Rattus norvegicus: one gene and its partners. The protein of the gene in region 2 interacts with the protein of the main gene of each other region in a pairwise test. Links are inferred from orthologs where the notes say so. Each region holds a gene or a part of one and is shown on either strand. Other genes may lie near its edges. The genes, in order: Ctnnb1, Htt, Mageb18, Nfkb1, Dnm2, Kpna3 and Copb1.

What was found.
Region 1: the proteins of Htt (region 2) and Ctnnb1 interact in binary tests that used the Homo sapiens proteins (3 or more experiments, as listed by UniProt). The link is inferred for Rattus norvegicus from reciprocal best matches to the Homo sapiens genes HTT and CTNNB1.
Region 3: the proteins of Htt (region 2) and Mageb18 interact in binary tests that used the Homo sapiens proteins (3 or more experiments, as listed by UniProt). The link is inferred for Rattus norvegicus from reciprocal best matches to the Homo sapiens genes HTT and MAGEB18.
Region 4: the proteins of Htt (region 2) and Nfkb1 interact in binary tests that used the Homo sapiens proteins (3 or more experiments, as listed by UniProt). The link is inferred for Rattus norvegicus from reciprocal best matches to the Homo sapiens genes HTT and NFKB1.
Region 5: the proteins of Htt (region 2) and Dnm2 interact in binary tests that used the Homo sapiens proteins (3 or more experiments, as listed by UniProt). The link is inferred for Rattus norvegicus from reciprocal best matches to the Homo sapiens genes HTT and DNM2.
Region 6: the proteins of Htt (region 2) and Kpna3 interact in binary tests that used the Homo sapiens proteins (3 or more experiments, as listed by UniProt). The link is inferred for Rattus norvegicus from reciprocal best matches to the Homo sapiens genes HTT and KPNA3.
Region 7: the proteins of Htt (region 2) and Copb1 interact in binary tests that used the Homo sapiens proteins (3 or more experiments, as listed by UniProt). The link is inferred for Rattus norvegicus from reciprocal best matches to the Homo sapiens genes HTT and COPB1.

The regions. Positions count from the first base shown.
Region 1 is NC_086026.1:129,530,985-129,534,630, reverse strand, and holds part of Ctnnb1 (catenin beta-1), read right to left. Parts: intron 537-3,646; 5' UTR 489-536; coding exon 476-488; intron 176-475; coding exon 1-175. UniProt on the Homo sapiens protein: Key downstream component of the canonical Wnt signaling pathway.
Region 2 is NC_086032.1:80,216,869-80,221,213, forward strand, and holds the start of Htt (huntingtin), read right to left. Parts: upstream 2,801-4,345; 5' UTR 2,634-2,800; coding exon 2,434-2,633; intron 1-2,433.
Region 3 is NC_086039.1:61,453,249-61,457,439, forward strand, and holds the start of Mageb18 (melanoma-associated antigen B18), read right to left. Parts: upstream 2,907-4,191; 5' UTR 2,016-2,906; intron 1-2,015. UniProt on the Homo sapiens protein: May enhance ubiquitin ligase activity of RING-type zinc finger-containing E3 ubiquitin-protein ligases. Proposed to act through recruitment and/or stabilization of the Ubl-conjugating enzyme (E2) at the E3:substrate complex.
Region 4 is NC_086020.1:226,802,591-226,807,035, forward strand, and holds the start of Nfkb1 (nuclear factor NF-kappa-B p105 subunit), read right to left. Parts: upstream 2,873-4,445; 5' UTR 2,490-2,872; intron 1-2,489.
Region 5 is NC_086026.1:28,295,951-28,299,596, forward strand, and holds part of Dnm2 (dynamin-2), read left to right. Parts: intron 1-117; coding exon 118-321; intron 322-2,894; coding exon 2,895-2,993; intron 2,994-3,646. UniProt on the Homo sapiens protein: Catalyzes the hydrolysis of GTP and utilizes this energy to mediate vesicle scission at plasma membrane during endocytosis and filament remodeling at many actin structures during organization of the actin cytoskeleton.
Region 6 is NC_086033.1:39,783,272-39,787,607, reverse strand, and holds the start of Kpna3 (importin subunit alpha-4), read left to right. Parts: upstream 1-1,480; 5' UTR 1,481-1,487; coding exon 1,488-1,556; intron 1,557-1,563; exon of another isoform or gene 1,564-2,019; coding exon of another isoform or gene 2,020-2,142; intron 2,143-4,336. UniProt on the Homo sapiens protein: Functions in nuclear protein import as an adapter protein for nuclear receptor KPNB1. Binds specifically and directly to substrates containing either a simple or bipartite NLS motif.
Region 7 is NC_086019.1:177,852,258-177,855,903, reverse strand, and holds part of Copb1 (coatomer subunit beta), read left to right. Parts: coding exon 1-26; intron 27-711; coding exon 712-819; intron 820-902; coding exon 903-1,049; intron 1,050-1,412; coding exon 1,413-1,558; intron 1,559-3,236; coding exon 3,237-3,333; intron 3,334-3,646. UniProt on the Homo sapiens protein: The coatomer is a cytosolic protein complex that binds to dilysine motifs and reversibly associates with Golgi non-clathrin-coated vesicles, which further mediate biosynthetic protein transport from the ER, via the Golgi up to the trans Golgi network.

The DNA of each region.
Region 1 (3,646 bases), on a different chromosome or scaffold from region 2:
AGGACTTGGGAGGTGTCCACATCTTCTTCCTCAGGATTGCCCTTGCCACTCAGGGAAGGAGCTGTGGTGGTGGCACCAGAGTGGATTCCAGAATCCAGGTAAGATTGCTGCTGCCAGTGGCTGACAGCGGCCTTTCTGTCTGGCTCCATGGCCATGTCCAACTCCATGAGGTCAGCTGCAAAACAGTGTTAATGCACTGAGAATGCTGCCTGAGTACGACGTCAGCGACGGGACCCGCTGTGACCTGCTGAACACTTAGAAAGGCAACCGTGGGGAGCAGGGTGATGCCAGTGTGAGCCCCATGGAACAGGTATGAACTTGGACTCCAGAGTCACCCACCCACTAGATCCCATTGGGTGGCTTGTTGATTATGTCACCAAGCCAGTAGCCAGTGTGCAAGAGCAGCAGGGGCTGAGGCAGACCCCACCCCACACAGCAGGAAGGAAGCAAATCTTCGTTGAGGAGATTCACAAACCTTGAGTAGCCATTGTCCACAAAGCGGTGTCACAGCAGTTGTGCGCTGAGCTTCAGATACCCTGAAAAGATTCCGTCATCACAATTCAAGTCGTCACAGTTCAAGTCGTCACAAGTCAAGCTTGATTTTTAACCTGTCACTGTGATTCTGCTGCCTGTTTAGGCTCTGGCTCCTCCCACCCACACCTCACCCAAGTCAGTTCATCATGGCATCCACTGAAAATTCAGACGAGCCACAGTTCCATCACCACTGGGCTCTTCTCAGCAGAAACAGAGTGTGGACACAGGTGCTGCTAGAGAATGGCCTCTCTCTAGTGAAAGCCAAGAGAGCACTAGTTAAAATCCAGCTGCACCACCAACCCTGAAGGCTGTGCATGGGTTCAGGATGCCTGGAAATCCCAGCCAGGAGGCAGTAGATTTTTTTTTTTTTAAAGAAAAACCACCAAATTTTTATTAAATAAACCCACGGTTTTTCCTGATATAGCACAATTACCAGATCAGAATGGTGGTTTATGCAGCTTATTGAAGAAGCAGAATATCTTTAAGTCAAAGTCTGAAGTACAAATGGAAGTCCCTTGTGATGAGGTTTGCCTAAGTTCGCACAATGTTGTCCGTGCCACGTCAGCTGGTATAGACAGACGCCCCTGCCATCAACAGTGGGACGTCTTCCACTGGCGAATGTTAGCCTAAGTTATGTCTTCACTTTGACCTTACTATACAATATTCAAGAACACTACTAAGTTACCAAGGATGAAATGGGAGCTTAAGGCTCACGACCTCTAGTACTCTGTGAACAGACTCTTATTATTTTTTTTTTTCTTTTTTCTTTTTTTCGGAGCTGGGGACCGAACCCAGGCCCTTGCCTAGCAAGTGCTCTACCACTGAGCTAAATCCCCAACCCCCAGACTCTATTATTAATGTCTGCCCCAGCAGGCAGCACTACAGCTAACAACAGCAGCAAATGGATAAAGACACAGAAAGGACCTCTAGGTATGGCTACATTTTCAATTCATGCAATGGTGTTTTTCAACATTTAATGAAGTGAGAAACCCCACCATTGACCGATGTTTAAGTAGAGAGAACACACCGATCTTTTCCTGTTTTCTGAGAAACTGTTCACTCTGAAGCCCAGGCTGGCACTCTGCCATGCTCACCCTCCTGAGCTGGGATCACATCTGGATTCCATCACTCCTCCGAGGCTAATGTAAGCAAGCTCAGGTTGGGCCCTTGCTTCAGGGTCCACAGTACAAAGTGACACTTAGCTGTCAAAGGAGGGGACCACTACCTCAGAGCCTTCTACCCTAAAGTGAAAAACAGAAAAGTTCTGTACAGTGAGCACAGCTCTCCATCTTTAACCAACAATGATGCCCACTCCTGTGTGGAAAAGGGGTGTGGCCTTGCTTTGCTGCCTTCCCCAGCCCTCAGGAAAGTGCAGGCTCACTGCAGTTTTGCAGAGGGGACTTGAACCCTGTATGTATCTAGCACTTCCCTCATGTGGCCAACACAGACAGGCCTGGAGACTAGGCGGTGCCACCACCACATACAGGCAGAGCCCTGTCCCTGCTTCCTCCTTAGTGTTGCGGGACCCAAACACTCACCATCTTGCCTGGTGTATAAGCTGACCTGGTTATTTGGAAGACAATATATAATAATTTTATGTGGGAAAAGATCATGTTCTAAACTCAGTATCTGCAGATGTTAGAGTCCTGAACACAAAATCCATTAGCATCCAGTGTTAGCACCTAACAAAGCACCCTATGCAGTACATAAGAATCATCCCTGCTTCTCACAGAGGCCCTGTAGGGTAGAGGAGGAGGGTAGGGAGGTGGGTGGAGGGCAAATGTCAGCAACAGGGAGATGAAAACAGGATGAAAGAGAGCTGACAGCTTTAAGTAGCAATATGCAGGTCAAAGAAAGATCCAAAAATGCAAGAATTCTAAGCATTATTTACCAAAACAGCAGCACGGCCCTGGGAAGTCCACCCAGAAGTGCAGCAGGGAAGGCCTGGCCTCAAAGGAAACTTTTCCTCAGCAGAGGCTTCAAGCCAAAGGCTGCTTTCTCCCTTCTAGGCACACCCTGCCGATTTCTTAAGGGACCAACCTCATAATTCCTGGGAATCAATGCTTTCTAACTGCCACTGTGGGAGATTCTTCAATGTCAAAAGAAAAAGGTCAAGAAAAGCAAACTCAGTAAAAACAGACAGTGCTTTTAAAATGGGGGGAAGGGATGCCACAAATACTTTAACCTGGTACCCCCATGAAACTTAGAACCAAAAATGTTAGGTTAAATATTAACCAAAGTTGCAAAATCCTCCTGAAACACTGAGGGAGAGACCTCAAACATAAGAGAGGAAAATGGTAATGGATCCAGGAACCAAGTCAAGGTGTTTCAGAAAACCAACCACAGTATGAGGAGGACCTGTGTAAGTGTTCATCCAGGTGGCAGTAACCAGTGACAGACACTGCTGTGTCTGCAGTCTCTAGGCAGGGCACATGTGGGACTCACAGTTTCTCTCGCATCTCCTTACCCAGTCTAAGGAATCTGTACAATTTCTCTTTGGTTTTTTTTTTTTTCCTTCTTGCTCTCTAAATGTATTTTCCAGTTATCTATGAGCTCAAAGATCACGTGACTTTATCTGTAAATTCCTCTTGTAGAACTAGTATAGATTTACATTAAGGTTCCTTTCCAAGTTCCCATCAGGGATAAAATTGCCTTATTCACCTTATAAGAATTTTGAATTAGTATTAACTATGATTAAGATCACTGCATAAAGCACACACATTATAGAACCACACACCAACAATTCACTTTCTAAAAAATGTGTACTAGAACAAATCCAATTATTTAAAGAAAACACTACTCTAACTATGGAATGTCATAACCTTTGGATTTATCTCTAGGAGTTAAAAATTGCTTATGGTCTAAGAAGAAATTTACTGCTACAGTGCTGCACGTCGGCCATTTTAACCACGAGCACCAGGACACAGTGAAGACCACAGAAGAACTGAGCCCTGCCTCCTGCTCTTGAGTGGTCAGTCAGTCCTTCCTCGTGTGCTTCTTTTACTACAAGAACACATTAACAATCTTAACATAGAAGAAGTGTTTTTAACTAATTCTAATGACAGAAATGCTAGCAGCACTGTACATTTTAAAGGATAAAAGGAACATTTAA
Region 2 (4,345 bases):
TGAGGTCATAACTTTGTTCCCTGCTAAAACCTGGAACTAGAATAAGTCTGGGCACACAGGAGATGATCAGCAAATATTGATAAATGAATGACTACGATCAGGAAACCTAATGAGGTCTATTAAAGGTGAATGTCAACTGCTTAAGGCCTATCGGACCCAATGCAGCCAGCTGAGCAGAGAACAAGTTCTCGGCTATTTCAACAGAAGCCCACGCATGGCTGTGACACTGGTTCTATGGAACACAATGAGAGTCATAAAAATAGAACAGATTCATTCTAAAACTGTTTTGGCTGGTCTCACTTTGAAAAAAGGACTTTTAAGCGGAGTGAGTGAACAGAATGCCAAAATCAAAGCTTCCAAGCAGTGAGTTTGTTACTTATTATTAATGAGCATTTGGTTTTTCACAGCAAAGTACATAGAAATATAAAATATACACTAATGGAGCTGACTTTGGAAAATGTTACAGTTGGTGATGTACAGTGTGGTAACAAGGGGTTGTTTAAGCTTTTAAAAGCTTTTGTTCCAAAACACTTTTGCTTATAAAGAATTTAAAAAGCCTGCCCTAACATATGCCCAAATTTTATCTGGAAGGACAAATGAAGTGTAACAGAGCTTGCTCCTTGGTACAGAGTTAGGAAACGGGAAGGGAGATGTTTTCATTATTTAGCCTTTTTTATCTATGGGACTGTATCATGTTTAATGAATTACTTAATTACTTATGCAAAAACAAACTAATTTGTGTTTGAAGCGGGTACAGAACACTCTCTCTGACAAAGACACACACACACACACACACACACACACACACACACACAAGTTTACAGAATATGTGGGAAATATGTAAACTTCCACAATTCCTACCACCAAGAGAGGCAGAGTCATGGTAATAATCTAAACAACTAACTAAAAAAATATTTGAACAGTCAAGCATGGTGCCACATGCCTTTAATCCCAGCACTGAGGAGGCAGAGGCAGGAGGATAGATCTCCATAAGTTACAGGAGTTACATAGTGAGACTGTCTCGAAAGCAAAAAGAAATTACTTATCTAGAGATAAGAGGTTTTCTATTCACAATTTTCACCTTATAGAAGATAAATTTATTCATATATTTTGTTCTACAAATAAGACAACATTTCTCCCCAAATCTTTATCTTTTAAAAGTAAACTCAGAACAGGGAAGGGATGCTATCAGAAACACAAAAACAAAAAAAAAAAAAATTAGTAAAAATGAGCTTGGAATAAGCTCAGTGGTATCATTAGAACACTTGTTTTCTAATGAGTTTTAATGTCCTTCTTTAGTAGGTTGTTTCCTGAAAGTTCTCCTTATTAATTATACAAGTTCAGATTAGAAATAAAATGCCCAGAGTTGAGAGAAAGACCTGAGCTCAAGAAATCACGGGGCTGAACACCCAGCATGGACTTCCAGGAAATATCTTGAGCATCTCTTTTCTCTTAGAGCATTGTGACTCATGATCTGTCTTCTGTTTCAATATTCTCTCCAGTCACAAGCAGTGAGCTTCCAAAGATCTATAAGATGTCAGTAAAGAACTAAACAGGAACTTTTACTGGTACACGAGATATCTACACAGAGTCTGAGTGGTCCATGTTCTAAAACAAGCTTGACTGCAACACTCCCGGGTGTAAACTGCACAATACCAATGTATCCATTTTATATACAACAGAAAATAGATAGGCAATAAATATCAGTCCACTCTTTCATATATATGCACATACACGTATAATTTGTATTAATAATCACACATAAGTAATTCACCGTGTACTTGACAAATACAACTCATCCAACTGCCTGCAGACCAACAGAGCATACAGAAGCACACCTCTCCAGCGATGCTTAAAACCTTGTTAACTACACTGCACCATGAACTAAACGAAAACGCCAGGAGAGTATGAAGTGCCTCAAGTCACAGGCTGCTTCAAGTGTCACTTGGAAAAAGAATATCCCATTGGATGCGTTCACACTCCCCCGCCCTCAGCACTCCCGCCGAGACCTCCTAAAAGCATTATGTCATCCACTATCCGCACATCTCTCACGCTGTCCTGCACTCCCGGCTCCCAGGCCTGATGAGGAGGTAACCCAAGAGATCTCTGCCTCTCCAAGTTCTCTTCACAACAGTCAAGTGCGCCACCGCCCCAGTTTCCCCCGAAGAGAGAAACAAGTTCGTTCCCTAACTTCGCAAACTGGGAACCGTGAAGGCACTGGAGCCGTGACGCTCCTCAGCGAGTCCCTCGCTGGCCTGACCAGGCTGTCTCCTCTGGGGAAGGCCAAAGACCCCTCAAGGCAAGGGCCCGGGCCGGGAAGGCCTGGCCTCAGGGAGGTACCGCGACCCTCTGGACAGGGGACCGCGTTGGCCATGCCCAGCACGCAGGCCAGGGGCGCGGGCCCCGGGCGGGAGCTGCGGCGCCCGGACTCACGGTCGGTGCAGCGGCTCCTCGGCCGGACCTGGCAGCGGCGGTGGTGGCGGCGGCTGCCCCTGAGGCGGCGGCTGAGGGGGTTGAGGCGGCGGCGGCGGCGGTGGTGGCGGCGCCTGCGGCGGCGGCTGCTGCTGCTGCTGTTGCTGCTGGAACGACTTGAGCGACTCGAAAGCCTTCATCAGTTTTTCCAGGGTTGCCATGACGGCCTCCTGCCCGACAGGACAGACCCTGAAGGCTTGGAGCCTATTCGCACTACGCAGCGCCACTTAGCAGCAAGGTAATGAATGGGGCTCTACGAGGTAGACCGAAGCGGAACCAAAGCTCCCAGCCATCTTGGGCCCGTCCCGGCAACCCTCGCGGCGAGTGCGTCCCGTGACGTCATGCCGGCGGAGGCGAGGCCACGCCAGACCTGCAGAATTGACAAGCGGATGCGTCGTCCTCTTTCTCAACGTTTGGTCGTGGGCGTGCCCTGCCTCTGCTAGTTTATTAAGACTCTCCGCCCCGCCGATGAGGCCCCGCCCCTTCCCGGCCGAAGAAAGCTCCTCTGAGTGAAAAAGCCAAGCAAGAGGATCGGTGGGCGAGGCAGGCTGCCAGATGAGGGGCGGAGCTGAGCCGAGAGTGAGCGCGGCAACGGCGACAGAAAAGTGGTGAGGGGGTGGGCAGAGGAGTTGGGGAGACCCGGAAGGAAGGAAGGGTTGGAAAGGGGAAAGAAAGAGAAGAAATTTCCCTGCATAAAGCCACACTACACCTGGAGTCACCGGGAAGGCGACTGTGGAGCTCGGAACCCAGAATCCAGAGAGGCTCTTTTTTCCACTAGCCAGGCAATGGCCTGAGCTTCAGTCCCGAGCGCAGCGAACTGGGGAGCTTTGGTCAGACACACTACAATGAGACCCAGACCCTGGGAACTGCTATACCCATCAGCCAGAATCTAAAAGGGGGGTCTCATTGCCACCAGGGCTGAGGTCCTTGTCTCTAGAGCCTCCATCTCCCAAAGGTAAACAATTAAAAGCAGGAAGCTAAGAATGGTGCGAGTACACCCAGGCTGTTCCTTCAGCCTGCCTAGCAAAAAGTGTTGGCTTCAGCCGGGTATGGTGGTGCATGCCTTTAATCACAGCACTTGTAGAATGCTTTGAGTAGCATGCACAGAAGCTCTGGGTTTAATCCCTGCACTTTATAAACCAGGAGTGGTAATCATGCCTGTAATCCCAGCACTCAGCAGGTGGGAGGAGGATCAGGAGTTCTAGAGTTTCCCCTTGGATTCATAGTGAATTCAAGTCAGCATGGGCTATATCAGAACTTGTCTCAAAAGAAAAAGGAAAAGGGAAAAAGAAAAGAAAAAAAAAAAAAAGCCAGGCAATGGTAGAGCACACCTTTAATCTCAGGAGGCAGAGGCTGGCAGATCTCTTGAGTTCGAGGCCAGCCTGTTCTGCAAAATGAGTTCCAGGACACAGAGCTACACAGAAACCATCTCAAACAAACAAACAATGTGCTGGCTCCTGAAAGAGCTGTCTGGAGGTGATCCATGCTGTGAGAAATCCAATGAAGCTTCGGGCTACCTGTAAGACTCAAATGCCCTATTCCATGGCCATAAGACACTCCCTTTTCTCAAAATGGTCAAGTATACAGAAACCAATATTGTTCCTATAGGGGTATAAGCAGCCCGCTCCTGTTAAACTGCCAAGGACAGCAGAGAAACAGTCTTTAAATTCCATGTCCCTCCTGTTACTAATGCCACTGTTGGATGCACAGAGCCAGTGCCAGCCCTCACATGAGGCAGTCTCTAACAGCTGGTCAGGGCTGGTAGGTGCTAGTAGGCAGACTTGGAAGAAGGCCCAGTGAGCCCTGCCTCAGCATTCTCTAGGTTATGGCATCCCTGTTCCCAAGTATGGGCAGCTAGTAACTGACTTCTAAT
Region 3 (4,191 bases), on a different chromosome or scaffold from region 2:
TACTATGGTCATAGCAGCCTTATTCATAATAGCCAGAAGCTGGAAAGAACCCAGATGCCCTTCAACAGAGGAATGGATACAGAAAATGTGGTACATCTACACAATGGAATATTACTCAGCTATCAAAAACAATGACTTTATGAAATTCGTAGGCAAATGGTTGGAACTGGAAAATATCATCCTGAGTGAGCTAACCCAATCACAGAAAGACATACATGGTATGCACTCATTGATAAGTGGCTATTAGCCCAAATGCTTGAATTACCCTAGATGCCTAGAACAAATGAAACTCAAGACAGATGATCAAAATGTGAATGCTTCACTCCTTCTTTAAAAGGGGAACAAGAATACCCTTGGCAGGGAAGAGAGAGGCAAAAATTAAAACAGAGACTGAAGGAACACCCATTCAGAGCCTGCCCTACATGTGGCCCATACATATACAACCACCCAATTAGACAAGATGGATGAAGCAAAGAAGTGCAGGCTGACAGGAACCGCATGTAGATCTCTCCCGAGAGACACAGCCAGAATACAGCAAACACAGAGGCATATGCCAGCAGCAAACCACTGAATTGAGAATAGGACCCCCGTTGAAGGAATCAGAGAAAGAACTGGAAGAGCTTGAAGGGGCTCGAGACCCCATATGTACAACAATGCCAAGCAACCAGAGCTTCCAGGGACTAAGCCACTACCTAAAGACTATACATGGACTGACCCTGGACTCTGAACTCTGACCTCATAGGTAGCAATGAATATCCTAGTAATAGCACCAGTGGAAGGGGAAGCCCTGGGTCCTGCTAAGACTGAACCCCCAGTGAACTAGATTGTTCGGGGGAGGGCGGCAATGGGGGGAGGATGGGGAGGGGAACATCCATAAACAAGGGGAGGGGGGAGAGGATGTTTGCCCGGAAACCGGGAAAGGGAATAACACTCGAAATGTATATAAGAAATACTCAAGTTAATTGAAAAAAAATAGTGCCTGTTAGGATAATTGTAAAATAATAGTTAAAAGCAGGTCAACAGAGAACAAAGAGCACATGTTAAGCCAAATTCTTTCAGTTATCTATTACTGAAAATCAATTCAGCTTAAAACTACACTGTTAAATTGTAGTTTAGTGTTATTTGTCCTTTTTGCTGTTTGGGTTTTTGTTTTGTTTTGTTTTTATTGGTTTGTGTTTTGAAACAGGGTTTCTCTGTGTTACAAAGCCCTGATTATCCTGGACTCCTGGATTTTGTAGCCAAGGCTGGCCTCAAACTCACAGAGATCCAACTGCCTCTGCCTCTGCCTCTGCCTCTGCCTACCGAGTGCTATGATTTAAGGTGACTGCCACCACACCTAGCTTCTAGTTCATTTTTTATATGTCCTGCTTTTTATTATTATTATTATTATTATTATTATTATTATTATTATTATTATTATTATTGGACTGGGCTCACTGCTGGTTCTTTTCTGAACTTTCATGCACTGGGATGTTACAGTCAAATATTGGCTGAGAATATAGTTCATACCAAATCTCCATCAACTGCAACTATTGGCCCAGAGGTTTCAAGATTGCTAAATCCCATAGCTATGAATTGACGCTGAGAGCACATCTGGAGCTTTCAACTGGAACACATACACATGACTTTTCCAAGTGGCCTGCAATTTGTATAACTGTGTGACAAGAGGGAGTATCCAAAGAGAAAGTGGTCCAAGAAACAATAATTATAAACAGCCAGTCTCTCAACTCATAAGCCAAGAAACAAACAGCTTCACATTACTCGTATTGACTTTTTCAGGAAAACTCTCACAAAGTTCACCCATATGCAACATAAGAGAACACAGAACCCCATTGCTCAATGACTCAAGGGTCAAAGAATTTTAATCTGTGTTGTGGGACTTTCCCTGAACAAAAGTCTATTCGCCTCAGATAGGGCGAATAACAGCAAAGAAACAGTTGTATCCAAGCGTAATTTAGCAGTTGATCAGTTGTCGGGATATTACTTATAGGAGTATGAGTGAGGGGGTTACTTACCCGTACAGCATGGATGTCGCAAAGCCAGATGATCATCAAAAAATCCACTAGAGCATTGGTGACGACGACTCACCAAAGCTGCATCTCTGGAGCTCCTTGCATGGCGCACAGGCAGCTGAGCCGGTGGGGGTGAGAGAGTCTCCTCTGTCCAGCAAGTGTTACTGTTTAGATAACCTTGGAAAGGGGCCTTATGAATCTTATAAGTTCCGGGGCCTTTTGAAAGTTGTAAGTTTGTTTATTTCCTGTGTCTTATGAGCCTCCCTCCCTCTTTCAGGAGGGAAGGTTTCAATTGCTACATAACAGTCTACCACGTAGCTCCATTCATAAGCTTCGTTAGGAAGGTTTGCAAACAAGAGACGTTAGGACAGTTACATCAGAGAAAGATGACTGATGACACAGGGAAGATTAATTGGATGGTGATGGAGACAAGTATGATCTAGCAATTAAGAAAAAGTGATCACGTTAGAAATTATGGAGGTTAGAAATCCTTCCCTTTTCTATTCAGTTGGAGAGACCACACAAAGAAAATCCTAGAACACACAAGTCATAAGACTTGATAGGGATAAAGGCCAGAGAAGACAAACATCCAGAAATCTAGGCTAATAGCTGAGTGCCAATGTTGTATAAAATAAAGATATTCAAGAAAAGTAGAGTGCCAAAGAGGACAAGGATTTATCAATAATGAATTATCAAGACAGTTTCATTTTGTTTATAAATCCATAAAATATTCTTTAAGCAGACCAAAAACCCCACCTTTATTCTCAGAGGAATAAGCATTGGATATTTTATTTCTCCAGGGTTCAATTGTCTTCTTTATATTAGCAGATATTTCCATTCCCCTCTTACTTTTATCCATAAAGATTTCATTAACAAAACTGTCAGCATTCTATTACCTAGAAAAATTAAATTAAAAATCCTATTACTAAAAATGGGAAATTTAATAAATTCTAAATTCAATATTAAAAGCATTTAATTTCTTTAAGGCCATTTCCCACTACCTGCCATTTTCAAAACCATCTTTGAGCACATACCCACTTTAAATTTTTAATCATCTGTGAGTGATTGGCTTTAACCATTTCAAGTAAATCTGTACTTGAACTTCCTGGCAGCAAAAGACTGGGATCAATATTTGCTATAAACATCTAATCAGCTAACCTAGTCATTGTCACTTATGGTGAATAGAATGCCGGCTATGAGAATAGACAATCCAGAAAAAAAAACTCCATACTGCAGACAAGATTTTGACAAGGATCCCAGGAACATACAATGGAGGAAGGACTCTATCTAGTATGGTGGCAGATGAGCTAAGCATCCTTGTGCAGAACAATGACAGATCATCATCTCACACAGTATATGAAAACAATCAACCCCAAAAGAACTAGAGGCTTAAATATGACTTAAAAGGAAGAAAATCCTACAGGACAAAACCACTAGAGAATACCTCCATTACATTGACAGTGAGACAACCACAGTAGATATCCCTGATAAATATTCATGCAAAAATCCTCAGCATAGTACTAACAAACTGAACTGGACAGTATGTAAAGAAGATTACATACCATGGCTATAATGGTATGCCTGGAATATACCTACCGTTACCCACATGATAATTAGTGCTACCCATCACATCAGCCAAATGGAAAATAAAAATTATTCAATCGTCTAAATGATAACAAAAATTGACATCGTGTCAAAAAGGTACGACATCGTGTTGCAGTAATAGAATAAACAAAAAAGAAAGAAGTTATATATCTACATGATAAAAGCGACATATAAGAGGCACATCACTAGCATCACACTTAACATGGGAAAACTGAAGGATTTCCTTTTAAGATCAGGAAAAATATAAGGTTCTCTGCTTCTGCCACTGCTATTCAATGTAGCATTGGGAATCCTAGCCCCATCCAAGAGGCAGGTATCAAAGAAAATAGTGCAGCAAATCATTAACAAAAATGAAATTATCTCTGTTCACATATACAATAATCTTCTGTATACAAAAATATCTAAGTTCTATTATGCCATTTTGATACTTGAAAGTTTCTTTTTATTTATATACTCAATCACTATACTTCTAAATAACTAATTTGTGTTTTCTCCACCATAGTTCCTTTGTACGTCCCTGAATTTTATTCCTACATGCTGGTCAACAAACACTGAGAAAATAATACTATAAGTA
Region 4 (4,445 bases), on a different chromosome or scaffold from region 2:
GGATTTGCTCTTCTGATTCAACTAGCATGTTCCAGATACACTCCTAACACAGTACAGAACACAACATCTAGATGAAGATCACTAGCAGGACACTCCTCTAGGTGAAGGGGAGAAAGGGTATTTTGAATTCATTCCCCAAGAATCCTGATGGCAAGGCTACAGGTATATGGAAGTAGAACACTCACAAGGTCCTGGGTTTGATCCCCGACTTGGCTATGTCATGAATCCACACAGCAACTCAGGACCAACTATTTGGGCCTGCTATTTGAAGATGCCAGCTATTATTTTCTTTGCCCATGCTCAAATTAATTAAGGGTTATAAATGGTCACTTCTCCCTAGAAGCCAGAACTTTCCCTCTTCGGAGCAGGGGAATACCTCATAAATAAATTAGGTAAAACCATGGCTTGCCGATTGAATGATAATCCACAGTCCGTGTGGTTGCCAAGTCTTTATCTAGACCTCTCTACCGCAATGAGCAATCCCTGAACGTCAGCAAAGCGGCTTACTTCATCGGTTATCTGGAAGTCTGCAAGTAGTGAAAACAGCCCACAGAAATACTAGCTTCTCCACTCAGCCTCAGTTCACCCGAAGGACCATGAAAAGGAACAGCACCATTAAATCCGACGCCGTTCGTTTCCAATCACTCCAGCTTTAACCCACTGCATATCAGTCAGCCTGGCTGTGCTAGTTTTAAGGGCAGAAGTAAAAAAGGAAGTAGAAAGATCAAAGCAGTGCTTACAAAGGGGAAGCAGGGCTGTTTTCTGTATGTATACTCCAGTATTTACTAACTGGCTTTCAAACACAGGCACATTCACAACCTACACAGTTCAGGTAATTGCCCTATGTAGAATGCAAGATGCTACTTAGTTTCTGAACGGAGATAAGAGGTGACAGAGATAATCAGGTTGCCACCAACCTTTAACAGGATTAAACAACTTTCTTTAAAAGTCTTCTGGTTTTGAAGTGGTTAGTGTTTCCCGGCAAGTATAGTATTTTAGTGCCAGCATTCAGCGTACAGAGAAGCCTTCTTTTGTGTTCAAGTTTATTCAGTAGCTTAAGCCAAGGAGACATTTTCTCTAAGCTAGCAAGAGACTCCCAGATGTACCAGCATGGACCAGAGTTGCCGAGTTCACGTTCCCATCAATACGCGTGCTCTTTTAGTCATCCAGTTGGGGCGATAAATGTTAAATGCAACAGGAAGCAAACCCTTTTAATTCCAGGCTTCTCAAGTTCTTATGCAAAGCAAAGGACTTCGCTGTAAATAATTTACATAATTTTTCGTGCATCAAACAGTAAGAGACACCATCTCTAGAAAGCACAATATTAAAATCAAGGGGAAAAAAAAAACCCACTTCAGTAAGGACCTTACTTTAATCAAGTTTCCCTTTTCAAGGTCTGACGAGCGTTAATGCATTTTTTTTTGCCACCCAAGAACACTCCGCTGAAGATTCCTTTAGAAAGCCATCTCCATCTTTAGGACTAACCACCACTCTGAGACCCAGCATTTGATGCCACGGCTATGAAATGTTACTCAACACCACGAGCAGTTCTCAGTTATGAGCCCTAAAACAACCAAAAATTTTAGTTAAACATGGCTACTTAGAGAGCTGCAGTGCCGACCTTTACTTTGCAAAGTCCATAAAAATGGGTTAAATTTAGACGATGAAATCTTCCATCATTAGTTCCATTTAAGCTTTAGAATTAGACCAATAAACAGAGAGCCAAGATCAGTGTCCGGCTCAGAAGACCGAAGGAAGCTTACACGTAGGAGAGGCGTCATTCGTATCTTTTTCTGTTTCAGAGGTCAGGCACAATAACATGGTGCCATTATCCTAGAGTAATCAAAAGTCTAAAAGGTGCTATTCGTAGGTAATTCCTGTCTCAGATGCCAGGCCTGGAGAATCGGGGTGAGGCCCTCCTTATATTTTGAAAAATCAATGTTGAGATTTGGCAGCTGAATGTATCATGTGTGTGCATCGGGGGTGGCGGTGTCTATCACAGATTGGTAAGCGGCCCCCAGGCTCTCCTGCGGGATTCTTAGGAGCTGGGAAGGGCTTTGCCTGCCCGGAGGACTGACAGGCACTTCTGCTTTCATTTCACCGACCGCCCTTTGGCGAAATCTGGCTGTGCACTGCACCAAACACCTTTCTATCTGTCCTTTACCGTGGAGGACCTCAGCCTGGCCGCCACCACCCCACCCCACACCCGCGGCAGGGGCTCGGGTACATCTTTCTAAAACTTTGCAAGAGTTCCCCTCCGGTTCCCGTTCCCGCCCGCGGAGACGCGGAGGGCCCCGCCAGCCGGCCCGCAAGGCCTCGGGCCGCCCAGTGCGGATGTGCTCTGTCCCCGCAGCCGGGGCCGCGCGCCCCGCGACTCCTGCCCCGGGTTCCCCCGCGGTTCCCCCCGTGAGTCCCAAGCCGGTGGGACCCGCTGCACCGGCGCTGCGGAGAGCTGGTCGCTCTGTTCCCCTACCCGCCCCGGGGCTTACCCTGGAGGTGAGGCGCGGCCTTTCCGCGCCTGCGGGCTCCCGCTGCGGGGCAGCGTGGACCGGCGGGAGCCCGAGTAAGGTCCTGGCGCCGGCCGGCGGCTCAGCGGCGCGCCATGGCTGCGGCGCGGGCGGAGAAGCGCGGGGCGGGCCGGGCGCGGCGGGGCCCTGAGCTCCGGCCTGCGCTGCTGGAGCCGGCCCGCGAGCAGGCCGAGGGCGGCGGCGGCGGCGGCGGCAGGCCGGGGGCGCGCAGGGCACGGGAAGCCGTCAGCGCGCAGCCGGGCTGCTCGGGTGGCGAAACCTCCTCTTCCTGCCCGGCTCGCCTCGGTACTTCTCTCTCGTCCTCTCTCGCTCACTCTCTCACTTCCTGGCTGGAAATTCCCACTGACGTCGAGAGAGCAGACAGACGGACGGACCCACGCGCGCGCGCACAGCGGGGGCGGGAGGTGGGGTCGCCGCCGGGGGTGGGGGAAGCCCGCGCGCCCGGATCGGGCGCCCCGAACCCCAAGCCCCGCGGCGACCGCGACGCCCCCGGGAGGCGCCCGCAGCCCAAGGGCAGGCCTGGACAGCTGGAGGCCACGGGAGACCAGCCTGGTCCCCACGCGCTGGACACAAAAGTCAATCTCATCTGCATGTTCCCTCCTCTGGGGGGTCTTGGATACACTCAGATCTCTTCACAGAGCGAACCGGAACTTCGAGATCGTAGTTGAGGTCTCTCCAGAGAATCATGAACTTATATAGGGTCTGGATGAAGTCTTTCAATCCTCTCAATTATTCCAGCCACAGCGAATTGTCCGGCCTGTGAGATCATCGCTGTGGATGGAATTATAGTGACAGTGGGACCCGCGGTGTTGGTTCACAGCTCATAAATCCTTATCCGGCTCAAGGGAGGTTATTTTTTCTGGAGAGGCCTCCCACTGATGACCATTTGCTAGTATTTGAGCTTATTCTTTGGGCATAGTGACTCCATGGGCCAGGGATGACACCCTGGGGCGAGGTAGCTCCCAAGTGAGCTGTGACCTGAAACATATTTTAGAGTCCAGGGTCTCACTACTGAGTTCAAGTGGAAATACAACTTTGAAACGCCAGGGATCAATCAAGTAGTCAGCACGGTTTTATTTTGCTACTTAACCCTCTGCGTTCCCACCCACGAGGTTATAAAAACCTTTCCAGGAACACAGATTCCCCCCTCCGACGCCCCCCCACTCCCACCTACACACACTGGATATTTGAGCGTCTTTAAGTGACCTTAAAGTGCCCTATCATCAACCTTAAAGCTGTTTCATTTAGATTCCTGAGGTCCTTTTGCCATCTAGAGTTCAGAGGCTTCCTATAAATGGAAGACAAGGATGGAAACACTTTGTTATTATTTATGGGACAATAGAAATTGTGCCCTAGGGGCCTTGGAAATCAGTCAACAGAGTGGTTATTGGGACCTTTAGCCTTTCTGTATGTAAAAGTCGTTGCAGATGGGGGCGCCTGTAACCTCAGCAGTGAGAGGGACAGTTGGATCTGGAACTCATTGGCTAGCCAACAAAGCCAACCTCTGAGCTCCAGGTTCAGTGACTAAAGTGACAGACACAGACCTTCTGCCCCCCACCCCCACACCACAAACAGTGTGGGAGGGAGGTGGGGGGGAGGGAGAAGGAGAGGAAAAGAGAAAACTGTGTCCTTGCTATGATTTAAGCACACTGTTATATAGAATGTATATAAAATGATTTTTCCCCCTGCTGACATGAATACAAAACCGGCAAGCTCTAGAGGAACAACGACGTGTAAGTTGTTTGTCTTTCCTCTGTGGACTAGGTGGGGACGGGAAAACTCTGCAGTCTGCCAGGTGTGGCAGTCCCATTGTCAAAGGCATATAATAAAATTGTTACAAAGGTAGAGGCAGTGGGATATACTATGAGAACGCAAGTTGAAGGCTGTTCATCGGGAGAAGTATCCAGTTAAACTTGA
Region 5 (3,646 bases), on a different chromosome or scaffold from region 2:
TTAGGAGTGGCCCCGAGATGTGACTCCCCTTGGGAACTTGCTGGTGTCCACTGGCTGTGTGTGGACCTGAACTCCTAACTGGGCTCTGACCACCTTTGCCTCTTGATCTTCCCTCAGTGTTGAACTTGACCCTCATCGACCTCCCAGGCATCACTAAGGTGCCAGTGGGGGACCAGCCACCAGACATCGAGTACCAGATCAAGGACATGATCCTGCAGTTTATCAGCCGGGAGAGCAGCCTCATTCTTGCCGTCACACCTGCCAACATGGACTTGGCCAACTCGGATGCCCTCAAGCTGGCCAAGGAGGTGGACCCCCAAGGTAACTCCAGCCTGGGGCAGCAGCCACTTCCAGTAGTGCTAGGTCCCCTCCCTGGTGTGCTATGTCACAGGGTTGTGTTAGAAAGGCCTCCTGAGATGCCTTGCGACACTTGAAATAGCTTCGCTCTTCCTTGAGTGTTGATGGGGTCTACTCCGCCTGCCCTAGAGTCTGGCGTGTGGCTGTCGTAGTCAGCTTTTCATCACTATAGCCAACACGGTGACAGAGACCCTGTCTTAAAGAGCATTCAGGGCTAGTTAGGCTCAGTGTTTCAGAGCACCCTCTTGTGATTAGTGGTTTCTGCTATTGGGCCTGTGAGTGGATAACACTTCACTGTGCACATTGGGAGCAACACAGAATAAGAAAAGGACAAGGGATCCTACAAGGTGATGCTCCAAGTGACCCCAATGACCTGAAAGCTTCAAGGAGACATTTAAAACCCAAATTATAGTCTGCACAGAGTACCTCAGTGAGGGTTGCTCACTTAGAAGTGCCCAGCATGAATGAGGATCTGGGTTCAATCTGACAGCTTATTTGTTAAGAGCACTTTCTCCTGAGCGTGGCAGCACATTCATTTAATTCTAGCACTTGATAGGCAAAGCAGGTGGATCCCCGTGAGTTCAACTCTGACCACTCTACAGTGTTCACTCCATCTGGACCTGGAATAGCTCAGTAGGTGGTGTGCCTGTTAGTGTGGAGGACCCCAGCACTGCATGACACTGGTGTGGTGCTTCACACCTGGAATTCTAGGACTCCAGAGGCGAACTCCAAGAGTTCATCATAGGCATTTAGAGGCCAGTCCGGGCTCTATGAGAACCTCTCTCAAAGAAAGGAAGAAATAAAACCTAGAAAAGTAGAGAAGGGCGCACACAACCTGGTGGAGAGTTGAGGTCATGAGTGGAGGAGACCCTTGAGACGGCAGGGTGAGCTGGAAGCATAGGGCTGCAAGTCCTCCTTCTCAGGAGCCTCCTGCCCATCCAGTCATGCTGCCCGCTGTCCACACCTATGCCTGTGACAAAGCATTAGCAGGGCAGTACAGAATGGGCTAAGGTGGTCACCATTTGTGAGCACACTGGCCTCCTACAGCCATTTTTGTCCTTTTTTCCTTTTTTGCCTTTGCAAGTACTCATCGTTTTTACAGAAAAGTTACCGTGGGAAATCAGGAGCCCACAAACCTCCCCTCTTCCACATAGATAACCCTGGCCACACTTCCTTCCAAAGTTTTTCTTACGTGTAAACTTACTTTTAAGTGGACGTCCTTCCTTATTTTTGTCTGTGCCTCTGTTTGTGGTTGTTGCTCTTGGCGATTGCGACTTTTATTTTTCAGTCGTGGTTTCAGGATGTAGCCCTGGCTACCCTGGACTTGTAGACCGAGATAGTCTCAGTATCAGGTTCTACCTGCTTCCGCCTCCCACGTGTGAGGATTGCAGGTGCAAGCCACACGCCTGGCCCTACTTTATACTATAGTGATAGTATGTTACTCTGTGGGCAGGCCCCACTGTATACTGACCCACTCCTTAGCCTCCCTGTATCTCTTCTTATCAACAGACGGTTTCATTTGGTGTCCATGTCTCAGGCCCCGCCCCACTCATTTCTCTCTCTAGTGTGACCTCTTCCCTATTCGCTGTATGAATTCTTATAGGCACACCCCCTTCACAGTAGTGCCAGCTAATGTAGACACCTGTGATGTCCAAGTCGATACCCACCTTCTGTGGGCCTCCTCAGCCTCTGTGTGTCTTGCACATGTGCATGCAGGCACACATTCACATGTGTATCCAAGCTGGTGCCTGTGTCCTGATGTGACGGCTGTTCTTGCTAGTTAGGCGGGGTCCTCTGTGGTCCAGATTGGCTTCAAACTGTTTAGCTGAAGGTAACCTTAAGCTTCTGGTCCTCCTCTCTACCGCCCGATTGCTGAGATCACAGTGGTGTGTCTCCATGCAGGCTCAGTGTAGCTGACCAGGTGCTTCGGAAAGAGCCCAGGCTCCTTGGCAAGTGCTCTACAGCTCAGCTGGTACAGGGTAGGACCCAAGGTTTCTGAATGCTAAAGCAAGACTGGTCCGTGGAGTACACTGGCCCCTACCCTGGCTTGGAAGCTCAGCTCATAAACTGCTCGGGTGAATTGTGGTCAGGACCCCAAACTACAAAAGCCTTGGCCATAGGGATTAGGGAGTAGTGGGGAGGCTGAGAAGCACATGGGTTTGGCGTAGCTCTGCTGTGGGATGTGCTGACTCTGGTTGACCTGGGGAGAACGTTGATGTCCTTGGCATGGTAATTGAACCAGGTAACAAGGGGCCCTGGAAACCGTTGCTCAGGTTCAAGTGTGATGTTGAGAATGGGCAGGGGAGATCCTGTTTCCATGATGTTCATTGGTTCTGCTGAGGCCCTCGTAGGCTCTTGCTAGTGTTCATTGAAAAAGCGCTTGACACTTGATGGGAGTCCCTGGGGCTATACCTGTCATTTTACACTCTGCCAACAGGTGTCCAGGCAAAAAGACACCATGGCTCTTGTCTCTTGGCCTGTCAGAGGGCCCCAGGGTCCCTTCCTCATCATCCCTGCTGACTTGTGGACTCTTTCAGGCCTGCGGACCATTGGTGTCATCACCAAGCTAGACCTGATGGATGAAGGCACAGATGCCAGGGATGTCCTGGAGAACAAGCTCCTGCCCTTGAGAAGAGGTAGGTAGGGCTGGGGTGGGCCACTGAGCGTGGGTGTGTCTTTTGTGATTCTCCTCTGGACAGTGGGTCTACATTACAGCTGTTTCTGGAACACTAAGAAGCAAGGACACAGCCATGCCTGGTGCTTGCTGTGATCCCAGCACTCTGATGGCAGCCTGGGCTACAGGACACCTTGTTTCAAACAAACAAATACAAAATGTTTCTTCAGAAATAGGTTTAGGTCTAGGTCCTGGGAATGAATCTCAGTGGTATAGCCCTTGCCCAGCATAGCTAGGAACCAGGCTCATTTCCCAGCTTCCCACACAAAGCAACATGTCCTGCTGCTGATTCTGCTCATTGAAGGACCCTGAGCTGTCACTTTCCTATGTAGCGTGCTGGTGTGTAGGTGTTGAAGAATAGACAGCCAGGCACGGACACACATCTGTTAATCCAGCATTCAAAAGCCTGAGGTAGAAGGGTCATGAGTTTGAAGTCAGCTCAAGGTAAAGTGCCGAGACCCTGAGTCTGCCTTCTGGAATTCACATTAAGAAGGAAGGGGGTACTGACTCCATCTGTCTTCCAACCTCCATTTTTGAGAATGTTTTTGAAAACTTTTTTCACTGTAAGGAGTGGGGACCAAGAAACACCTCCCTAGCTAGTGGAGGCTGAGGGAT
Region 6 (4,336 bases), on a different chromosome or scaffold from region 2:
ACCGCTGCACATAAGCTTATATTTGCTAAGATTCTTGTGGTCGTTTGAATAGGGATGGCCCCTATAGACTCATGTGTTTGATTGCTTGGCCCATAGGGAGTGGCACTATTAGGAGGTATAGCTTTGTTGGAGGAAATATGAGGTGGACATTGGGTCTCCTATGCTCAAGTTAGGTCCCTTGTGGACACAGTCACCTTCTGCTGCCTGCAAATTGAGATGTGGAACTCTCAGCTCCTTCTCCAGCACCATGTCTGCGGGCATACCACCATACTTCCTGCCATGATGACAATGGACTCAACCTCTGAACTGTAAGCCAGCCCCAATGAAATATTTTCCTTTATAAGAGTTGCCATGATTATGGTGTCCCTTTACAGCAACAGAAACCCTAATTAAGACAATTCTGAAATGTAATACTCATATATAATCTAATAAGGTTATCTTGCTGTAAAAACAAAAACAAAACCAACCAACTAACCAACCAAAACCAACAAAAAAACTGTTATTGTTCCAACAGGAAGCTAAAGGGAGTTGACAATCTGGAGTCTGCAGACTTAGGTCCTGAAGGCTACATTGTGTTAGGTAGACTAAAGCATCAGGTCATAGAAAGGTAGGGCTGCCAAAGTGAAGGTTGCACAAGGATGCTTGGAGAAATCAGGGGATGCTAGAACACTTTTTTTTTAAAATCAGAATTTACTAGGTACTGTTTTGATCTGACAGATTTTTGAGACCAACAGTGTCTCTTTTCTCATTGAGTTTAATAGCGGGTGCAGGAAGCAATCATAAACACACACATCACACTCACATGTATTTGTGGAGTGGAAACAAGCGTGCTATTTATAAAACCGAAGCAAAGCAGAGAACAGGGTTTGAGGGTGGCTGCTATTTGAGGAGACCCTAAAGAAGCCAAAAGCGCAAAGCACGCGTGGCCGTTCTTTTTCTAATTTTCGAAGCTGTAGAAAGCAAGGTGCGCCCCCGGAGCTCCGCCTCTCTCTCCGGATAGGCTGCAAGGTGCCATCTCCAGAGTTGCCCCGCCCACCAGCCCGCCCAGAGGTGGGGCTTCGAGCCCGCGCTCAGAGAGCGCCTAGCCGAAAGCGCGCGCACAGCCCTCCCGGCATGCTTCTCGTCCTCTCACACCGTGGCTCAGACCCGCGCCTGGCAATCTGGGAATTGTAGTTTGCGCCCTCCGCCCCGCTTCAGGGGTGGCGGTAAAAGCTGCTAGGTCGGGCTCCATTTCTAGCACATGACTAGCTGCTGTGGGGAGGCCCGGCGAAGGGGTGAGGGTAGGGTCAACGCGACAGCCGGCAGGCCAGCGCCCCGGCCTTCTCCGGCGCGCGCCTTTCCTCAGCGCCGCCCCCGCGCCGCGGCCACCTCGCGCTCCAAGCGTCACGGAGCGCGCGCTCCTCCCCCTCCGTCCCCTCCCGCTCGACTCGCCGCCGCCGCCGCCGCCGCCGCCGCAGGAGCAGCCGCCTCCGGAGCCGCGCGCAGCCATGGCCGAGAACCCCGGCTTGGAGAACCACCGCATTAAGAGCTTCAAGAACAAGGGCCGCGATGTGGAGGCGAGTGTGCTCCGCGGCTGGCTGGGTAGGGCGGGGAGGGGCGGGGGCCCGCGGCCGCTGGCTCTCGCCGGCTGGCGGTCAGTCGGAGTTGGCCGCCGCCTCGGGGCGCCGCGGCCCGGGCAGCAGCCGCCCTCTGAGCGGCTAGCGCGGCACCTGGGACCGCTGAGCGCTCGGCCCCGCTGCGCGGGCGCGGCCTGGCGTCGGAGGGGAAGGGATGTGGAGCCGAGGCGGGGTCCGCGGGCCGCGCGGGAGGACGGACCGGGATGCTGCCGCCCCGCGTGCCGACCGCACCGCCGGGGCCGGGCCGCCGCTCGTGTCCGCAGCCGGTGCAGCCTCCCGCGCTGCCGCACATGGAGCCTGGGTCCCCGCGCTTACCTTGTGCGAGCCGGGCCCAGGCGGGCGGTGGCAGCCCTCAGAGGGGGGTGGGGACCAGCCGGGTAACTGACTTGTTTGAGGGTGGTGGATGGGGGAGGGTAGGATGCGCCAAGACCATTTTCTTATATTCCAGTGCTGTCCTTTGGACCAGTCTTCCCGAGCTGTTGCAGCTCATACCCCTGTGACTGCTGGCATTTGGAGCGAGCTAAAGGTGGACAATAGTTTACCGTCTATTGTGTTGAAGCTTTGGGAAGGAGGTTGTGCAGACCTCTGATCTTGGGATTTTTTTTTTTTCTAAAGCACGTTTTGGAGTGGAAGTGTGAATAATAGGAAAATAATTTCTTTGACCTGTTTTGCAGAAATAAATTGGATACATAGATTCCTACGTCCTTGTGTATACCACATGCCACCAAGCTAGTAGATTTTCCAAGTGGTTGCAAAACTGTAAACATTCATTGTGGTCACTCAGTTTGCTGCTACTCAGCATGTTGCCATTGTCTCATTAAGGTGACATTAGCAGCTACTATTTGCAAACTCTGCTTATTGAGGTAGCGCTAGAGGTCTCTCTGCTCCTACTAAAACCAATGAAGTGTAATAGCACAAACTTCACTGGGACCCAACCTCTGGATTTGATGGGGGAAATAGTTTTGAGCCCATATCCTCTTCTCTATTCTAATAGTAGGTAATATGATTTGTATAGTCTAGTAGTCTTTGGTAAGAGGCTAGTTAGTAAATACAGGGTTTGGTTTGGTTGAGAAGCAGACGAACCTGGACCATTTTTCAGAGCTACAAAATTAATTATGAACTGGAAAGAACCTGGGGGAATATCTGTGGAATTCCCATTTGAGTGAGACTATAGGTTTTCTATCTCTGCCCTGATCACATTTAAGTTTCTTTATGAGAATTCCAAACAAAAGTGAAACCTAGCAAATGGAACATCCATCAGTCTGTTTTTTTGGTAAGAGTGTGTGTGTGTGTGTGTGTGTGTGTGTGTGTGTGTGTGTATGTATGTGTATGTGTATGTGTATGTGTATGTGGCGTGTGTGTGGTCTCTCTTGCTTTTCATTTGTTTTGTTTTTGAGACAAGGCTTTAACTACAGGGCAGGCTGGTTAAGCAGAGAGAATAATCCTGCCTCAGTCTCCCACGTGCTGGGATTACAGGTGTGGGCCACCACACTTTGTCCCACCAGTAATTGTTCTTGAGGTTGTCTCTTATTACTGTAAGCAAAACCTGAATAGTTTACGTGGATACTCTATTGCTTGTACATTCTTTCCTTTTCTGGATGTTGGTGTAAGTTTTTGTCATGATTCGTTTGAGTTCTGTGTCCTGTTTGTTAAATGATAACTAGTGAGGACTTCTGCATGTAATAGATCCACAGCAACTACTTGCTGCTTACTAGAAGGTGACAAGTGGCTTGTGGATACATGAAAAGGACAGTTGCCATTTTGTCGGGTTTTGTTTACAACATTTCATGTCCAAGCCTATGTCAGTATAACTAGGACATGAAATAGGCATTCAAATGGTAGTTCTTTGTGGCAGACACAAAGAACTATACATTGGTGTGCTATACCAAGAACATTTAATCCTCACCACTTAGAAGTGGTGCATTCCTTTACTAGAGAAGAAGAATTCTTTTTTTTTTTTTTTTTTTTTTTTTTGGTTCTTTTTTTCCGGAGCTGGGGACCGAACCGAGGGCCTTGCGCTTCCTAGGCAAGCGCTCTACCACTGAGCTAAATCCCCAACCCCAAGAAGAATTCTTCGATATAGAATTGCACGTTTCTGTAGCGTGCTGGTAACATCTGAGAGCATTCATTTGCTAAGTGACTATTGGGTGACTAGTGCAAACAAAGATGGCGTCCGAGTGATCTCTGACAGATAAATGGGAATGAGCTGATCCTGAAGAGTCAAAGAAAAGCTTGGTGCGCCCTCAGTAATCTCAGCACTTGTTGGGATAGCGGCAAGTTAGGAGTTCAAGGTCATCCTGAACCGGCGGGCACCCTACCTCAAAAAATAAGCAAATGAATGAAATGAAAAGGTGATAACTGGGGAAGGGGAAGGGCAGGGTCGAAGAAGGGGATAGGCTTTTGTGATTTGAAGATTACTAATTTCCGAAGTTCCTAGAACTGCAATGGGACTGCTTTGCTAAGGGGTTCTGGGGAGTGGGTGGATGCTAGAAATGTAGTGGAAGGGTAATCTAGGGTCTGGTCTAATTTAGGGTCTTTATTGTGGTTTTAAACAGAACTAAGAGGAGATGCCAGCCATATTAAATTTATTTTTCCCATTAAAAGCTGTGCTGCATTTGAGTCATACTATGAGTTAGCACTATAATTAAGTAGTTGCGATTATTAGGGTGTTTGCTATTGTTTCTTTACAAATAGTGTAGACAGAAGATAAAACATTTTTA
Region 7 (3,646 bases), on a different chromosome or scaffold from region 2:
ATCCTGCTCACGAGCGAGTCCTCCAAGTAAGTTCTGTTGTCCTTTATGTTTAGATCAGCCCACGCCTTGCCACTGTATGTAACCTAGAACCTGAAGCCTGGCAGTGTAAATTTTGGGCAACTGAGGTGTAACTTTTTTTTCTTTATATTTTATTGGATTTTTTAAATTTACATTTCTTTTTTTTTTTTTTTTTTTTTTTTTGGTTCTTTTTTTCGGAGCTGGGGACCGAACCCAGGGCCTTGTGTTAAATTTACATTTCAAATGTTATCCCCTTTCCTGGTTTCCCATGAGGTGTAACTCTTAAATCACCATCTCCTTTTACGTCTTTCTACTGGTCATCAATTTTTTGAAGAGTTAACTAAACTGGGTTTCCTCTAAAATGTTCTTCCTCCTGGATGTGGCTGGTTACTTTGCTGTAATGTCACTTAGCTTGTTCCTCTGACTTTTGTATTTTCCATGAAACAAGTCAAATCTAAAACTTGATAGAGTCGAAGCATACATTGTCAGCTTGGCTATGTCACATGTGATGTCATCACTTTATGTCTCATTACACTAGGTAAACCAAGTGTCTACTTCTTCCTACACCACTAATGCCATTACTAATCAGAGGCCTGAGGTGATGGAGGGCAAAAAGCACTGTGGTGCAGTTTGGATATTTTTCTCACAAAGATAAAAACACTGGCATCACTCTGTAGTTTTTGTTTTTTTCAGGATCTGGTCATGGACATCCTACGAGTACTGAGTACACCAGACCTAGAAGTGCGCAAGAAAACGCTGCAGTTAGCACTGGATCTTGTCTCATCTAGGAATGTTGAAGAGGTAAAACAAACATTGGTAACATTATTTGTAAGAGGTCCAGATAGGATGTCGTTCTCACTTATTTTTACTTTTGTCCCCCATAGTTGGTTATTGTCTTGAAGAAGGAAGTAATTAAAACAAATAACGTGTCTGAGCATGAAGACACTGACAAATACCGACAGCTTCTCGTGCGAACACTGCATTCCTGCTCTGTCCGATTTCCAGATATGGCTGCAAATGTTATTCCTGTGGTATGTAACTCTTATTGTTTTACTGTAAGATTCTCTAGATGTTTCATTTTTCTTTTTGGGTTATTTTACATCTACTGAAATTGTAACCATCTGAAATAATAAAGATCAAGATCTTTACATGTATTCCTATGATAACGAGGGAAAGAACTCAGATTTCTTTCTCTAAATCCTCATCACAAACTTGGCTGCACACAGGACTATCGAGACTCCTGTTTATGTGCCAGTGTCCGTCTCAGCTTACGTTTGGTCTATATGTTGAAAATCACGGACTTCCACTCTTTGTTCATTAATTTATTTCTGACTTTATATGCTTTTATCTCTGGAAACTATATAACTATTTGTCCCGTTTCTCTTTTTTGTTAGCTAATGGAATTTCTCAGTGACAGTAATGAAGCAGCAGCTGCTGATGTCTTGGAGTTTGTGCGTGAAGCCATTCAGCGCTTTGACAACCTGAGAATGCTGATTGTTGAGAAGATGCTGGAAGTCTTCCATGCTATTAAGTCTGTCAAGTAAGTTTAAACTACACTTAATGTAAAGTTGAGCACTTTTGTCAGTTTCTATTTTAAAGAGTCAGTAGAAAATAAAATAGAGGAAATAAGATACAGTGCACAATATCATTCACCATTCTCAGTTCATAGTGCATAGAATTGTTTCAGTTAGGCTTCCGTGTTCTAATTATATCTAAAACGTTGTGAACCACAGAATGACCAAGAAACATTTTTTTAAGTGTTGTACTTAAAATCACCTTTTGAATATTATTTATGTCACCCTCAGCATTTATTGAAAAGGTTTGAAAACAATCTGAATCTGATGTGTTTGATTCCATTAGCCTCTGTTTATGACAAAGGGTTTTTGGATACAGATTTTGCTTCATTTATTGCATTTGCTGGATAAACTACAAGAGATTGGTGGTATGTCTACTTAAATAGGATGGGACCAGTACACGGTTAGTTCAGTGGTGTGAAAGTGACTGAGAGGTATACATACACACACACTCAATCACCCCCACACACACATACACACACACATGTCATGTACATATTATGTATGATATGTGTGTATGCATGTATATGAAAGTAAAATTTGTCCTGTTATGACGAAAAATTGAATCAAAGCTTTGCTTTTGACAGCTGAAATCTTCTGGGACTTTAGTTTCTATGGTTGATTTTATTTTTCTAAATAAATTCAGTTAAAATCTAAGAAAAAGGATAACTAAAAATTTTATCCAGTTTAACATTTTAAAATAGAAAATTATTTCTGTCTTTGTTAACTGTCTAAGTTCAGAGGTTTAGTCCATTATTGTGGGAAGCATGATGGCGTGCAGGCAGACATGTTGCTGGAGAGGGAGCTGAGAGCTCTACATCTAGATCCACAGGCAGCAGAAAGTGACTGTGTGTCACATTGGGCATGGCTTGAGCACATATGACCTTAAAGCCTGCCTCCATAGTGGCACACTTCCTACAGCAAGGCCATACCTACCCCTACAAGGTCACACCTACTCCATCAAGGCCATACCTCATAATAGTGCAACTCCAGATGGCCAAGTATTCAAACACATGTGCCTGTGGGGCCGTCCTGTTCACATTTCCCCAGTAACATTTTAGGCTGAGAATTGGCTTTGTTCTTGTGACAGGACACTACTGTGTAGCCTGAGTACCTTTACTGTAAATATGTGCCTACTGCAGCTGGTCGTCATTGCGTGCTGTAGTGCTTTCTGGGCTGGTTTCAAACCCAGCACATGTGTGGTCCCCAGATAAACACTGTACCAGTGAATTGACCCTCAGCCCCAACAAGATGTACTGTATATGTCATCCCACTCAACATTTTATGTCTTGCACAAAAAAAGTGAAATGAATTTAAAAATTATATTCAAATAATATTTTTCTCATAGTAGAAAATGATAAAGCCAAATTTATTAATTTTAACTGTCCCCTAAATGAATGCCCGTGGGAAACATTTGGCTATTTAACTTTTACTGCTCAACTCACTAATTTTAGAATGTTCCTAATGACAGTGAATGCAAATAGCTATTTTCTTAGCTTCCCATTTGTTCCAGTCTTTCTGAAATGTTCCTCTTCCAGAATATAAAATCCTGATTTCTTGCCTTATCTTAAATTCACAGAGAAGTGTTTCTACATCAAGATTTGTTCCCAGGTTTGTATTTCAGATCTTGCATTCTTGTCCTAGGATTTATCGAGGAGCACTGTGGATCCTGGGCGAGTACTGCAGTACTAAGGAAGACATTCAGAGTGTGATGACTGAAGTCCGCAGGTCCCTTGGGGAGGTATGTTTGTGTGCCTTAGAGAACTGCTGTGCTGGCCGTGCAGCTCAGTGGTGAAGTCCATGTCCAGTCACATGCAGCCCTAGGTTCAGTCCTAGTACAAAGAAAGAAAAACAGCAATTGATGTTTCTGTCGTCATTCACTTTTGTGTTTTTGTTATGTAGTGTTGGAGCTAAAGAACACTGAAAATTATATTTTAATTACCCAGATAAATAAACCTCAGGAGCAATAGAAAATTAAAAGTGGCTCCCCTCCCCCTGCCTCCATGAGAACTGTTAACATTTGTTCAAATAATTATTTGTTTATCTTTGGGTAA